Linked DNA regions of Anolis sagrei. Each later gene encodes a partner of the first gene's protein in a complex. Links are inferred from orthologs where the notes say so. Each region holds a gene or a part of one and is shown on either strand. Other genes may lie near its edges.

Evidence for each region. Proteins that work in one complex are often made in the same cells at the same time.
Region 2: SMC4 (region 1) and NCAPH share a complex: the UniProt entries of both Homo sapiens proteins name them as parts of the condensin complex. The link is inferred for Anolis sagrei from reciprocal best matches to the Homo sapiens genes SMC4 and NCAPH.

The regions. Positions count from the first base shown.
Region 1 is NC_090023.1:246,701,008-246,708,354, forward strand, and holds the start of SMC4 (structural maintenance of chromosomes protein 4), read left to right. Parts: upstream 1-4,282; 5' UTR 4,283-4,297; coding exon 4,298-4,537; intron 4,538-7,347. UniProt on the Homo sapiens protein: Central component of the condensin complex, a complex required for conversion of interphase chromatin into mitotic-like condense chromosomes.
Region 2 is NC_090027.1:23,074,945-23,082,088, reverse strand, and holds the start of NCAPH (condensin complex subunit 2), read right to left. Parts: upstream 3,101-7,144; 5' UTR 2,944-3,100; intron 2,746-2,943; exon of another isoform or gene 2,724-2,745; intron 1,089-2,723; exon of another isoform or gene 1,086-1,088; 5' UTR 1,084-1,085; coding exon 851-1,083; intron 1-850. Other genes in the region: REEP4 (receptor expression-enhancing protein 4), read right to left, coding at 7,082-7,141. UniProt on the Homo sapiens protein: Regulatory subunit of the condensin complex, a complex required for conversion of interphase chromatin into mitotic-like condense chromosomes.

The sequences.
Region 1 (7,347 bases):
ATCTGAGGCTGGATTGCTATCTGTTGGGAGGGCTTTGATTGTATGTCACTGTTCAGAAGGAGGTTGGGCTGGATGGCACTTGGAATCTCTTCCAACTCTGTGATTCTATTCTATGACAATGCCAAGGAGATATAACTTATGGCTCTTCCATCAAACAGTATGATAGGGGCTTTTTTGTGTCAAGTGTGAGAGAATTGGCCATCTTCAAGGACGTTGCCCAGGGATGCCTGGATGTTTTACAGTCCTTGTGGGAGGCTTCTCTCATGTCCCTGCATGGGGAGCTGGAGCTGACAGAGGGAGCTCAATCCACTCTCCCCGGATGTGAACCTCTGACCTGTTGGTCAGCAGTCCTGCCGGCACAAAGGTTTAACCCACTGTACCACTGGGGCTCCATGACAGCTGTTGAGATAGCTGACTGGATAATCCAGCAGGGGATAGAACGCCTTGTCCCAAAGGGACAACTATTTTCTGTCAAAACTGTCAACTGATCACAGAGGAGGAACTATCACATCTGGGATCACAAAATATCCAGACCTCCATCCAAAAAATGTAATGTACCACTATGTGTGTATATGTCATCAAGTTACCTGTCAAATTATGATGACACTATGGATTTCATAGAGCATTCTTAGGGAAGTTAAAACAATCAGATGTGGTTTGGTCTGAAGAAAAGGGGGAACAGCCTTGTTTTCTGCTGCTCTAGAACAGGCATGGTCAAACCTGCCCCCCCCCCCAGTGTTTTGGACTTCAACTCCCACAATTCCTAAGAGAAGCTGTTAGGAATTGCTTGAGATCTCCCTGCACCTTCGGAATGATGGAAGAGATGAGGGAACTATGGTCGGCTCTTGGAACTGGCAAACCCAAACTCTTAAGTTTTTTTACAAGCAAAAAATATTATTTTAAAGACAGATTAAGAGCAATTTGAAATAAAGAGCCAGTCTAAAGCGAAAGGCAGCCTTGAAAATGTTCAAACTAGCATTTTAAAAGGTAAAGCTTTCCCCCTTGACATTAGTCTAGTCTAGTCGTGTCCAACTCTGGGAGGGGGGGTGCTCAATCTCCATTTCTAAGCTGAAGAGTCAGTGTTGTCCATAGATGCCTCCAAGGTCATCTGGCCACCATGACTGCAAGGAACTCGGTTACCATCCTTCCAGAGCGGTACCTTATTGATCTACTCACATTTGAATGTTTTTAAACTGCTAGGTTTGCAGAAGCTGGGACTAACAGCAGGAGCTCACCCCATTCCCCGGACTGGAACCGCCAACCATTCAGCAAATTCAGCAGATCAACCGAGAGTAAAACTAATATAGCAAAGGAAATTTCTGTGGGGTGGGTTAGAGCAGGGAATCAAGTGCCATTTGAATACATTTAAAAGCCCTGTGCAATGTAACTTGCCTGGATAGAGTTTGGAAAATTACTTTTAAAGGCAACCAGTTTCAAAATAGTAGATAGTGTTTTGTAGGGATTATATATCTCTCTTTCAGCTCTATCTACCTAAGCCAGGCTTGGGCTGTTAGGAATTGTGGGAGTTGCAGTCCAAAACACCTGGAGGGCCAAAGTTGGTCCATGCCTGAGATAGATAGTAAGGAACCATTTCTCAACCTGGGGGTTGGGACCCCTGAGGGGGGTCGCAAGGGGGTGTTAGAGGGGTCACCAAAGACCATCAGAAAACATGATGGTAGTTAGAGTGGTCCAGCATTTCTATATTCTCAAATAATATGTTGTATCCAGGTTGGTTCATCAGGTGCTCTGCTATGTCTGACTTCTCTGGCTGAAGTAGTCTGCAGTGTCTTTCATGTTCCTTGATTCGTGTTTGGGCGCTGCGTTTGGTGGTCCCTATGTAGGCTTGTCCACAGCTCAAGGACAGCTCAACCCATTACGCAAAATAAGCATTTGCAGTATAGTTGATTTTGCCCAGGGGCGCTCTTGAGGCGCTCTTGGGGGAAAATAGACCTTGACATATGTGAGTTGTAGTTACTGGGATGTATAGTTCACCTACAATCAAAGAGCATTCTGAACTCCACCAATGATGGAATTGAACTAAATATGGCACACAGAACTCCCATGACGAACAGAAAATATATATCAGTGATTGGTTGGGGGGTGGGGGGTGCCAAAATACTGTTTGCTTACCGTTGAAAATTACCTCGGGCCGCCTCTGCCAGCTGCATGGTATACGGTAGACTCCTGCAGAAGTGAGAGGATCCCTCTTGTCCACCATGTCAGACTACACAGAGAAGCCATTGAAATCCACAAGCATGTGGACAATTTCAACAGAAAGGAGGAAACCATGAATATGAACAAAATCTGGATACCAGTATTAAAAAACTCTAAAATTACAACAGCAAAACAACAGGGGGGGGGGGGGGGAATCAGACACACCTAATCACCTCTCAACAAAAGATTGCCCCAGGCACTGCCAGGCCCTCAAATGCCAATCAAGGTGGTCAGTTGAAACATTCACGCCTATCTCCAGCAGACAAGAGTCCTTTGTCCCACCCTGGTCATTCCACAGATATGTTATTTTTGTTCATTCGTTCAGTCGTCTCCGACTTATTTATTTATTTTATTTGTCGTGTCAGAGCAACTAGTCCATTATATTACATTTCTAACAGACCAAAGCAAACAAATAGAAAAATACAAAACTTGTGAGTTTGGTAGTTGGTTAAATGTCCTTTGACTAGTATCTGGCCACTTGGAGTGCCTCTGGTGTTGCTGCAAGAAGGTCCTCCATTGTGCATGTAGCAGGACTCAGGGTGCATTGCAGCAGGTGGTCAGTGGTTTGCTCTTCTCCACACTCGCATGTCGAGGATTCCACTTTGTAGCCCCATTTCTGAAGGTTGGCTCTGCGTCTCGTGGTGCCAGAGCGCAGTCTGTTCAGTGCCTTCCAAGTCACCCAGTCTTCTGTGTGCCCAGGAGTGAGTCTCTCATTGGGTATCAGCCATTGGTTGAGGTGCTGGGTTTGAGCCTGCCATTTTTGGACTCTCGCTTGCTGAGGTGTTCCAGCGAGTGTCTCTGTAGATCTTAGAAAACTATTTCTAGATTTAAGTCGTTGACGTGCTGGCTGATACCCAAACAGGGGATAAGCTGGAGATGTCTCTACCTTGGTCTCCGACTCTTGGTGACCTCATGGACCATCCCACGCCAGAGCTCCCTATCGGCCGTCACCACCCCCAGCTCCTTCAAGGTCAGTCCAGTCACTTCTAGGATGCCATCCATCCATCTTGCCCTTGGTCGGCCCCTCTTCCTTTTACCTTCCACTTTCCCCAGCATAATTGTCTTCTCTAGGCTTTCCTGTCTCCTCATGATGTGGCCAAAGTACTTCAACTTTGTCTCTAGTATCCTTCCCTCCAATGAGCTTTATTTCCTGGAGGATGGACTGGTTGGATCTTCTCGCAGTCCAAGGCACTCTCAGAACTTTCCTCCAACACCACAGTTCAAAAGCATCTATCTTCCTTCACTAATGGTGATTCAGGTTATTTTACAACAATATATTAATATGTAAAAGCAACCTTCTAAACCCAGATTTAAGCCACTGATCCAACAAATAAAACTCCTCATATAAACCCTTTTTCCTAGTTCCAACAGACCTCACTACCTCTGAGGATGCTTGCCACAGATGCAGGCGAAACGTCAGGAGAGAATGCCTCTAGAACAGTGGTTCTCAACCTGGGGTCCTCAGATGTTTTTGGCCTTCAACTCCCAGAAATCCTAACAGCTGGTAAACTGGCTGGGATTTCTGGGAGTTGTAGGCCAAAAACATCTGTGGACCCCAGGTTGAGAACCACTACTGTAGAACATGGCCATATAGCCAGAAAAAACCTACAACAACCCAAACTAAGAGATATGTAAACCATTGTGGAATGTCAGTGCAGAGACCTACGCCCTGAAGACCCTCAAAATCAGCTCCCTTACCTGTAGAAGCCAATAAATAGGGAATCCAGAGTCTCTCCAAGAGGAGCCTTGTTGCGACTTCAGCTCGCGCCCAAAGCCCTGCGTTGGCGACGCCGCTCCGTCTCTATAGCGACTTCTCGCGAGATTTCCTCTCCGATCGCACTCTTCGCTCCTTCCCCCCTCCCACACCCGTCGTGACGTCAGAGCGCCGACCTGTCAAAAACCGTCTTTATATCGGCAAAACAACCCATACGATTTAGATTTGATAGCAAAATTAAATAAATAAGAATACCTGCTCAATTCCACGAGTCAAAATAAGACAGAGGGAAAAAAAGCTAATTCCTGACGTGGAAAACATTTTTACAGCCACTACAGCCGCCTTTCAGCTCGCTAACGGGAAAACAAGATGGCGGCGCTTGAGGGGGTTTTTCTTCCTCCCTCCTCTCCCCCCTCCCTTCTTCTTTCGCCTCCTTTCAAACCCGTGGAAGCCCCGCCCCTTTTCCTTTTCCCCCAGCATGCTTTGCGCATTTCTAACGAATTTCGTTACGAGTTTGCCGTTTGGGCGCCATTTTCGAGTGTGGAAGCCGCCAAGGCTGCAGGCAGGAAGCGAGCGGAGGGAGCAAGCTCTGAAGGGAGGCGCAGGACGGTAAGCGGGCCTTGGGATCCCGGGAGCGGGGGAGAAGGCAGCCCCACGCTTGGAAATCATCGCTGCTCATACTGTGACCATTACTGATTGCTTCAGCTTCTGGAGATATTGGAGGAACTCGAATCAGAGGAGAGAAACTTCCCCCATAAATGGGGTCTATGACTTCTCTGTGGGGTTGAAGGGAAAAATATAATCATGATCATTATGATCAATATTAATAATAATAATAGACAAGATGAGGTGTTGTTTTCCATCGGAGTCTGAATTTAAAAGAAAGGAAAAAGGCGGCATTCTTTAATTTCCCTTTTTCCCCGCCACAATTTGCCTCTATGGATCTATCTATTTTTTTTAATGGGAGAAATTAGAAACCTTATGCTTTTTTAAGGTTGTCACAAGAGATAATATTTTTACTAATTTTTGAAAATATTATTTTTCGTCGTTTTATTTATTTATTTATTTAAAAGTTTTGTATACCAGCCTTCTCACCTCTCTTGAGGGACTCAGACCGGTTTCCAACCATAATATCACATAAATCAATAAAACAACATAATACATATTACAGTAAAACATTAAAACAGCAATTACAATCAATTAGAAACCTTATGCTTTTTTAAGGTTGTCACAGGAGATAATATTTTTTCTAATTTTTGAAAATATTATTTTTCGTCGATTTATTTATTTAAAAGTTTTGTATACCGGCCTTCTCACCTCTCTTGAGGGACTCAGACCGGTTTCCAACCATAATATCACATACAATCAATAAAACATCATAATACATATTACAGTAAAACATTAAAACAGCAATTACAATCAATAACTATAATTAGGTTCTTGTAGGTTTTTTCGGGCTATAGGGCCATGTTTCCAACAGACCTCACTACCTCTGAGGATGCTTGCCATAGATGCAGGCGAAATGTCAGGAGAAATGCCTCTAGAACATGGCCCTATAGCCCGAAAAAACCTACAAGAACCTAGTGATTCCAGCCATGAAAGCCTTCGACAATACAATAACTATAATGGTCAGTCATCATACTTTTTTTTGTTTGTTTGTCGTGTCAGGAGCTTCTTGAGAAGCTGCAAGTCGCTTCTGGTGTGAGAGAATTGGCCGTCTGCAAGGACGTTGCCCAGGGGATGCCCAGATGATTTTTTTTAATGTTTTTATCATCCTTGTGGGAGGCTTCTCTCATGTCCCCGCATGAGGAGCTGGAGCTGATAGAGGGAGCTCACCCGACTCTCCCCTGATTCGAACCTGCGACCTGTCATACTAAAATCGTTGCTCATCATCCTCCATCCATATCTCAGGGTGTTGGCTCACTCGTCGAATGCCTATCTCCATAACCAAGTCTTCACCTGTTTCCTAAATGAAAATGAATAAGCCTTAATCAGCAGAGAAACTGGTCCTACTTTTTATAAAAAATTACCAATTACCAATTGTAATATAATGATAAAAAAATAATAATTTATTTGTAACCCACCCTATTTATTTAAGGGACTCAGGGTGGTTTCCAACAAGCCTCACAACTGACAAGCCTCTGAGGATGCTTGTCATAGATGCAGGCGAAACGTCAGAAGAAAACGCCTCTAGAACATGGCCAATATATTATTAGCATAGCAAAATATTATATATTACTATATTGTACTGTACCACTATAATGCAATATTAGTAATATTACATGTAATACATATATAATTATTATATTATTTATTGTTAGTAGTATTGTATTACATTATAATATCAATATTATATGTACATACAATATATTATATGTATTGTCGAAGGCTTACATGGCCGGAATCACCTGATTGTTGTAGGTTTTTTCGGGCTGTATGGCCATGTTCTAGAGGCATTCTCTCCTGATGTTTCGCCTGCATCTATGGCAAGCATCATCAGAGGTAGTGACCGGATGCTTGCCATAGATGCAGGCAAAACATCAGGAGAAAACGCCTCTACAACATGGCCATACACCCCGAAAAAACCTACAACAACCCAATATATTTTATTATTAACATAGTAGACTGAACTTTCTTATAGTGTTTGATTTTGTCACATTCTCAAGTAATTTAGCTACAACACTCTATGGAGTCTGGTGTGGTCCAATAGGAGGTCCAAAGGGTCGACACTATTTGTTACCACACAGAGTGACACCAACCCTAGTGACGGCAGAAGTTCAACAGAACCTCCTTCCGCAGTCTTAAAACACTGCCCGGTTGTGCTATTAAGGCAAGCCTTAATGTTTTCAACAAGCCTCACAACCTGTGAGGGTGCCTGCCATATATGTGGGTGAAATGTCAGGAGAGAGTGTTTCTGGAACATGGCCAGACAGCCCAGAAAACTCACAGCTACCCAGTGATTCCAACCATTAAAGCATGCGACAATACATTAGCAAGCATGTATCAATCTCATATTTTTCCTGTTTGTCTATTATGGCATTGATGCAAGCATGGGCAAACTTCGACTCTCCAGATGTTTTGGACTTCAACTCTCACAATTCCTAACCGCCAGTAGCTGTTAGGAATTCTGGGAGTTGAAGTCCAAAACACCCGAAGGACCAAAGTTTGCCCATTCCTGCCTTAATGCCATAATAAGCAAACAGGAAAAATCCAAATCAGAAACGGTGAATAAAAACAACCTCAATATAAACTTGTAAGAATTAATATTTATATTAGGATTTAATGCTTTGCCTTAGTGTTTTATATGGTTTTAGTGATTTTAATTTATAATTATATGCCAGTGTTTAGCTATTGTTTTATTATATGTATGGTGGCATTGAATTCTTGCCAATGAGAAAGACAGTATATAAATATACTAT
Region 2 (7,144 bases), on another chromosome or scaffold:
CAATAATAATAGAGAGTAAAATAATAAATGTAATGATAATAATAGAGTAAAATAATGAATGTAATAATAACAATTAGAGAGCAAAATAATAAACGTAATAAAAATTATAATAGAGTAAAACAATAAATGTAATAATAACAATAGAGAACAATAATAAATGTATTAACAATAATAAAGAGAGTAAAATAATAAATGTAATAATAACAATAGGGTAAAATAATAGAGATAATAAAAATTAGTAGAGTAAATAAATGTAATATTACTAATAATAGAGTAAAATAATAAATGTAACAATAATAATAAATAGAGTAAAATAAATGTAATAATAATAATAATAATAACAGAGTAAAATAATAAATAACTTTGAGTCGAGTATAAGCCAAGGGGGGCTTTTTCAGCCTTAAAAAAGAGCTGAAAAACTCAGCTTACACTCGAGTATATACAGTAGCCAGCATTCCACACTGGCAGGTTTCTTTTGCGAGTTTGATTGTTTGCGGACTTGATTAATACGTTCTTTTTCGGTATCTCCAGGTCCTCCAGGACATCTGTATGGTAAACCTCTGCCATAGAGGACTTAAGAGATCACGAGGGAGATCACTTCTCTAGGCCTGCAGGTCCTGCAGCAGGATTCTATGGTAAACTTTCCAAAATAGACTGCAGAGTTGCATTGTATGGCTAAGATTTCTAAAGAGGTGTTCTCAGGTTTTCTTTATTCATTTTTTCCCTCTTTTAGAGGGATCTCGCTTTTTTAAACTTAGAGAATATGGAGAGCTGACTCTCCAGCATTCTACCGTAAGAAACAACTGCACACATATGAACATATTCGTTTTTTTCCAAAATCTGCTCTTACTTGTTGGAGGGAGATTGTATGGCCAGAGGCGAGTCAGTGCTAAACTGCAGGTCAACAATTCTGGAGCGCCGCCTCTGCTTCCTTTCTCGTTCGTCGTCATTGTCGGGGCAGTTCTCCAAGACAGGGGTCCCAGAGGAACTCAGTGGCTGCCGCCTGGTGCCAGGAGACACAAACACGCTGTCGGAAGAGGTGCTTCCTTTCCGCCCGGCCGATTGTGGGGTTGAGGAACTCATTGCTACTGGGAGACAGGAAGAATGCCATTTATCAAATCTATATTCCAGAGGGATGAAAAGGAGTCTTGGAGAAATCCTTGATTCTTTTTTAAACTACTTCCCTCTGCCTACATCGCACTTTGGGGGAGGCAACAGAACCAGCAAAGCCAGGAGAATGCTGTTTTTGACCTTTAAAGCCCTAAACCAGTCCTTCTCAACCTTCCTAATGCCGCGACCCTCGAATACAGTTCCTCATGTTGCAGTGACCCCCAACATAACATTATTTTCATTGCTATTTCATAACTGTAATTTTGCTACTGTTATGAATTGTAATGTAAATATTTGATATGCAGGATGTATTTTTATTCACTGGACCACATTTGGCACAAATAACCAATACGCCCAAATTTGAATACTGGTGGGGTTGAGATAGATCTTGTCATTTGGGAGTTGTAGTTGCTGGGATTTGTAGTTCACCTACAATCAAAGGGCATTCTGAACTCTACCAATGATTGAATTGAACCAATCTTGGCACACAGAACTCCCATGACCAACAGAAAATACTGGAAGGGTTTGTTAGGCATTGACCTTGAGTTTTGGAGTTGCAGTTCACCTACCTCCAGAGAGTACTCAAACAATGATGGATCTGGACCAAACTTGGCAACGAATATTCAATATGTTCAAATGTGAACACTGGTGGAGTTTGGGGAAAATAGGCTTAACATTTGGGAGTTGTAATTCCTGGAATTTATAGTTCACTTACAATCAAAGGTCATTCTGAACCTCACTGATATAACTGGGTCAAATTTTGCACAGAGAACCTGCATGACCAACTGTGTTTCAACTCTCCTTGGAGTTGGGTGGAAATGAGTAATAGAGTAATAGTGTAATCTGCATAGAGGTGGCACCTAACTCCAAAACTCCGGATGATCTCTCCCAGCAGTTTCATGTAGATGTTGAAGAGCATGGGAGACAAAATAGAGCCTTGCGGGACCCCACAGGTCAATGGCCAGGGGTCCAAGCAGGCATCTCCCAGCTTCACCATCTGGGATCGACCCTCCAGGAAGGATCGGAGCCACGACAAAACCGTGCCCCCAACACCCATCCCAGAGAGTTGGCCCAGAAGGATACCATGATTGATGGTATCGAAAGCCGCTGAGATGTCCAAGAGAACCAACAGAGTCACACTCCCCCTGTCCAGCTCTCTACGGAGGTCATCCACCATCCAAGGCGACCAAGGCTGTCTCGGTACCGTGACCAGGCCTGAAACCAGACTGTGATCTAGGTAGTTGGTGTCATCTAGAAAGCCCTGGAGCTGGGAGGCAACCACCTGCTCCAGCACTTGCCCAAAAAAGGAAGGTTGGAGATCGGTCTGAAATTGTTCAGCACCGTGGAGTCAAGGGAAACCTTTTTGAGGAGTGGACGCACCACCGCTTGTTTCAATTGAGACGGAAAAACCCCTTGCTCCAACGATGCATCAATATATTTGGTCATCAATATATTTAGATTGTTGTTTAGATGATTTTAATATGTTGTAAGCCACTTTTTATCCCGTGAGGGAGAAAAGCGGGATATAAATAAGAAGATGCCTGCCACAGATGGAGGCGAAACATCAGGAGAGAATGCTTCTGGAACACTGCCATACAGCCCGAAAAACTTACAGCAACCCTTTTGGCTATCATCGCTCGCGCCTTGTCCAATCAACACGCGCCCTGGAAGAGTTCCATATTTCAACACTCCCTATTGGCTGAGCCTTCCCCTTGTTGACCAATCAGAAACCTCTTCGCTTCCTTCTTTCAAACAAAGCGAAGGCCTGACTAGGCCGCAGTTCCCTTCCTCTCTTTCGAGCCTTTAATTCCCAAGGAACAGGCCTCTATTTACCTCTCCCGCCGGCCACACGAGTCTTCTTCGCCGCCGCTGCCCGTTCTGAAGCGACGAACCTGTCAAATGCGGACGAGTCTTTTCTACCGGCGCTTCTCTTGTTTGAATGTACCCGCGCTACGCACTACGCATGCGCCGGGGGACGTGACGTCAACACGCAGACGAGAAAGCGAGCTCCTAGTGGGCGGGGTTTATGCGAGACTTGTTTGTGAGAGCATAGACTTAGGAAAAAGTTAGAGACATACATTTATTTTCAGTTTCCGAGTTAAGAAAGCAATGAATGAATGAAAGCAGGTTTAGTATTGGGTTGTGAGTTTTCCGAGTGTTCCAGAAGCATTCTCTCCTGACGTTTCGGCCACATCTATGGCAGGCATCCTCAGAGCTTGTGAGGTCTGTGGAAATGAAGCAAGTAGACTGTAAAAATCAAATCAATGCAAAGTCCTACAAGAAGCACTGTCTGAATATCAAGCAAAAAGTGGGCGCTAGAAACAATATCATACGAATGCTGACCGGCACAACCTGGGGATCACAACCAGACACAGTGAAGACATCTGCCCTTGTGCTATGCTACTCTGCTGCTGAGTCTGCATGCCCAGTGTGGAACACATCTCACCACGCTAAAACAGTGGATGTGGCTCTTAATGAGACATGCCACATTATCACATGGTGTCTGCGCCCTACACCACTGGAGAAATTACCCTGTCTAGCCGGTATTGCACCACCTGACATCTGCCAGGAAGTAGCAGCCAATAGTGAAAGGACCATGACAGTGACATCTCCAGCTCATCCCCTGTTTCGGTATCAGCCAGCACGTCAACGACTTAAATCAAGAAATAGCTGATCTACAGAGGCACTCGCTGGGACACCTCAGCAAGCCAGAGTCCAAAAGTGGCAGGCTCAAACCCAGAATCTCAATCAATGGCTGATACCCAATGAGAGATTCCCCCTGGGCACACAGAAAACTGGGCAACTTGGAAGGCGCTGAACAGACTGCGCTCTGGCACCACGAGATGAAGAGCCAACCTTAGGAAATGGGGCTACAAAGTGGAATCCACAACATACGAGTGTGGAGAAGAGCAAACTACAGACCACCTGCTGCAATGCAACCTGAGTCCTGCCACATGCACCATGGAGGACCTTCTTGCGGCAACACCAGAGGCACTCCAGGTGGCCAGATACTGGTCAAAGGACATTTAATCAACTAACAAATTTGCAAAATCTGTGGGGGGTTTTTAATCTGTTTGTTTTGTTCTGTTAGAAATGTAATCCAATGGTATGGTTGCTGATGACACGATAAATAAATAAATATGTTTTAAGCCACTTTTTGTCCCGTGAGGGAGAAAAGCAGGATATAAATATGAGGATGCCTGGATATAAATATGGATATAAATATGAAGAGCAAACTACAGACCACCTGCTGCAATGCAACCTGAGCCCTGCCACATGCACAATGGAGGACCTTCTTGCAGCAACACCAGAGGCACTCCAAGGGGCCAGATACTGGTCAAAGGACATTTAATGGAATACCAAGTCTGCAAACTTTTTTGTTTGTTTGTTTGTTTTTAATGCAGTACAACTGTTTTGGTTCTCTCCTGACACGATAAAATAAAAAATAATGCAGAGTCAATCAGTGATGGTATCTGCATAGAGGTCTGCTGGAAAAGAGGCAACTGGACTGTATATATACTTGGGGAATGAGACCCAGGGTGGAAGAACTCTCATCTGTTTGAGGCAAGTGTGAATGTTGCCATTAGCAGCTGGTTGTTGTTATTTGTTCAGTTGCTTCTGACTCTTTGTGACCTCATGGACCAACCTACGTCAGAGCTCCCTGATGGCCATCACCACCCCAGTTCATTCAACGTCAAGCCAGTCACTTCAAGGATGCCATCCATCCCTCTTCCTTTTTCCTTCCATTTTCCCCAGCATCATTGTCTTCTCTAAGCTTTCCTGTCTTCTCATGATGTGGCCAAAGTACTTCATCTTGGCCTCTAATCTCCTTCCCTCCAATGAGCAATCGGGCTTTATTTCTTGAAGTATGGAGTGGTTGGATCTTCTCGCGGTCCAAGGCACTCTCAGAATTTTCCTCCAGCACCACAGTTCAAAAGCATCTATCTTTTTTCGCTCAGCCTTCCTTATGGTCCTGATCTCACATCTATAGGTTACTACTGGGAATATCATTGCTTTGACTAGGCGGATCTTTGTTGCCAGTGTGATGTCTCTACTCTTCACTATTTTATCGAGACTGGTCATTGCTCTCCTCCCAAGAAGGAAACGTCTTTTGATTTCCTAGCTGCAGTCTGCATCTGCGTTCATCTTCACGTCTAGAAATGCAAAGTCTGTCACTGCCGCCATGTTTTCTCCCTTGGCAGCTGGATTAGCATTGAATACCCTTGCAGCTACAAAGTCAATCATTGGGAGTATCTGCAAAGTGGTAGCCTGGCCATTGTTGCCTGGAGGCACCCTCTGTTTGGGAGGCATTCACTGGCACTTGATTGCTTGTTGTGTGAGTTCTCCTGTTTCTGAGTGGTGTTCTTTTCAGATACCCTCACAGATTGACTTTGCAGCTGCTAATGAAGCTGGCCAATGGCAACATTCACACTTGTCTCAAAGAGACGTTCTTTCTCCAACCCTGGGCATCATTCCACATATATATATGTACACACACACACACACACACACACATATACATTCCACTTGTTTCATATTTCCAACAGGTCTCTATGCAGATTGCCTCACTGATTGCAGCTAAAAGTCCAATAATATTATTATTTGTATTTTAATATAATTGATATTTATATTTATCTTCATATTTATAATAGCAATATTAAAATAAATAGCGTTGCTTCACCCACATTCCACTTTCTAAACAGAATAAACACAGAGCCAGCTTACAAGAAATTAATAAATGTATAACTTATTATTTGCATTTTAATCTTTGTCCTATATTTTTAATATATTTATTTTAATGGTATTGAGTTTGATCTGCCTTGAGGAAAGATACAAAAACTACTATTAACAATAACTAATATTATTTCTATATTAATATAAATTGATATAAAATGATTTAATTTATATTATTTATAATAAAAAGTAAAAGTAAAGCTTTACCCTGACATTAAGTCCAGTTGTGTCCAACTCTGGGGGTTGGTGCTCATCTCAATTTCTAAGCTGAAGAGGTGGTGTTATCCATAGACACCTCCAAGGTCGTGGGGCCAGCATGACTGTATGGAGCACTGTTACCTTCCCGCAGAAGCGGTACCTATTGATCAACTCACATTTGCATGTTTTCAAACTGCTAGGTTGGGAGAAGCTGGGTCTAACAGTGGGACCTCACCCTGCTCCCTGGATTTGAACTGCTGACTTTACAATCAGCAAATTCAACAGATTAACAGTTTAGCCCACTGCGACCCCTATTATTTATAATAGCAATATTAAAATAAATTGCCCTGAGTCACCCACATTCCATTTGCCAAACCAAATAAATACAGAGCCACCTTACAAGACAAAATGTGTTTATTTAAAAATAATATTAAAACATTACAAATACATTTAAGTGTCTGAGCCTGTGGTGGTCTTCAAGTAGTAGCCAAGTTAGTGTTTTCACAGAGAGAAGGGAATGTGAGCGATTGAGCCGGACCGAGGTCCTTCTCTGGCAAAAAGGGAACCCAAGAGGCTGCGGGTTTGCTTTGGTTTCTCATCAGCCACAGCTCCAAAACCCATGGAGTTTCGGGAAGCGAAGCCAGTCTCTGTGCCATTGGCACCGCTTCAAAAAGGCAGGCCGTTTCAATGGTGCAACCGTGTGCCTGATGCTGAGAAAAGGCACATGGCGAAAGGCAAGAGGCACAAAGAGAAGATGGGAAAAGGCACTTTGGATTAAAGGATGAACCCTGCAAAGTTTGGCCCCTTAGAAATTGCAGGGAACGAGGGAGGGACCCCTCGAGGCCTCCCCATTAAAAGCTACGGCCGTCCAGCAGCTGTTTCCTCTGTCGCCAAAGCCAGCAACACATCTTTGGCCCCCTTTGGATGTAGCTGCCTTTGAGGAAAAAGTCTGAAAGAAAGGCATTCCTCGGGCTGAAGGCGGCATCATGAGCAGCCAGGTGAACCCAATCGTCCTTAGACGCTTTTGTCAATGTGGCCTCTAGTTCTCCTGGTCGACCACCTTCTTCCTGGGGCGGCCGCGCACCAGCCTCACAGAGCCCTG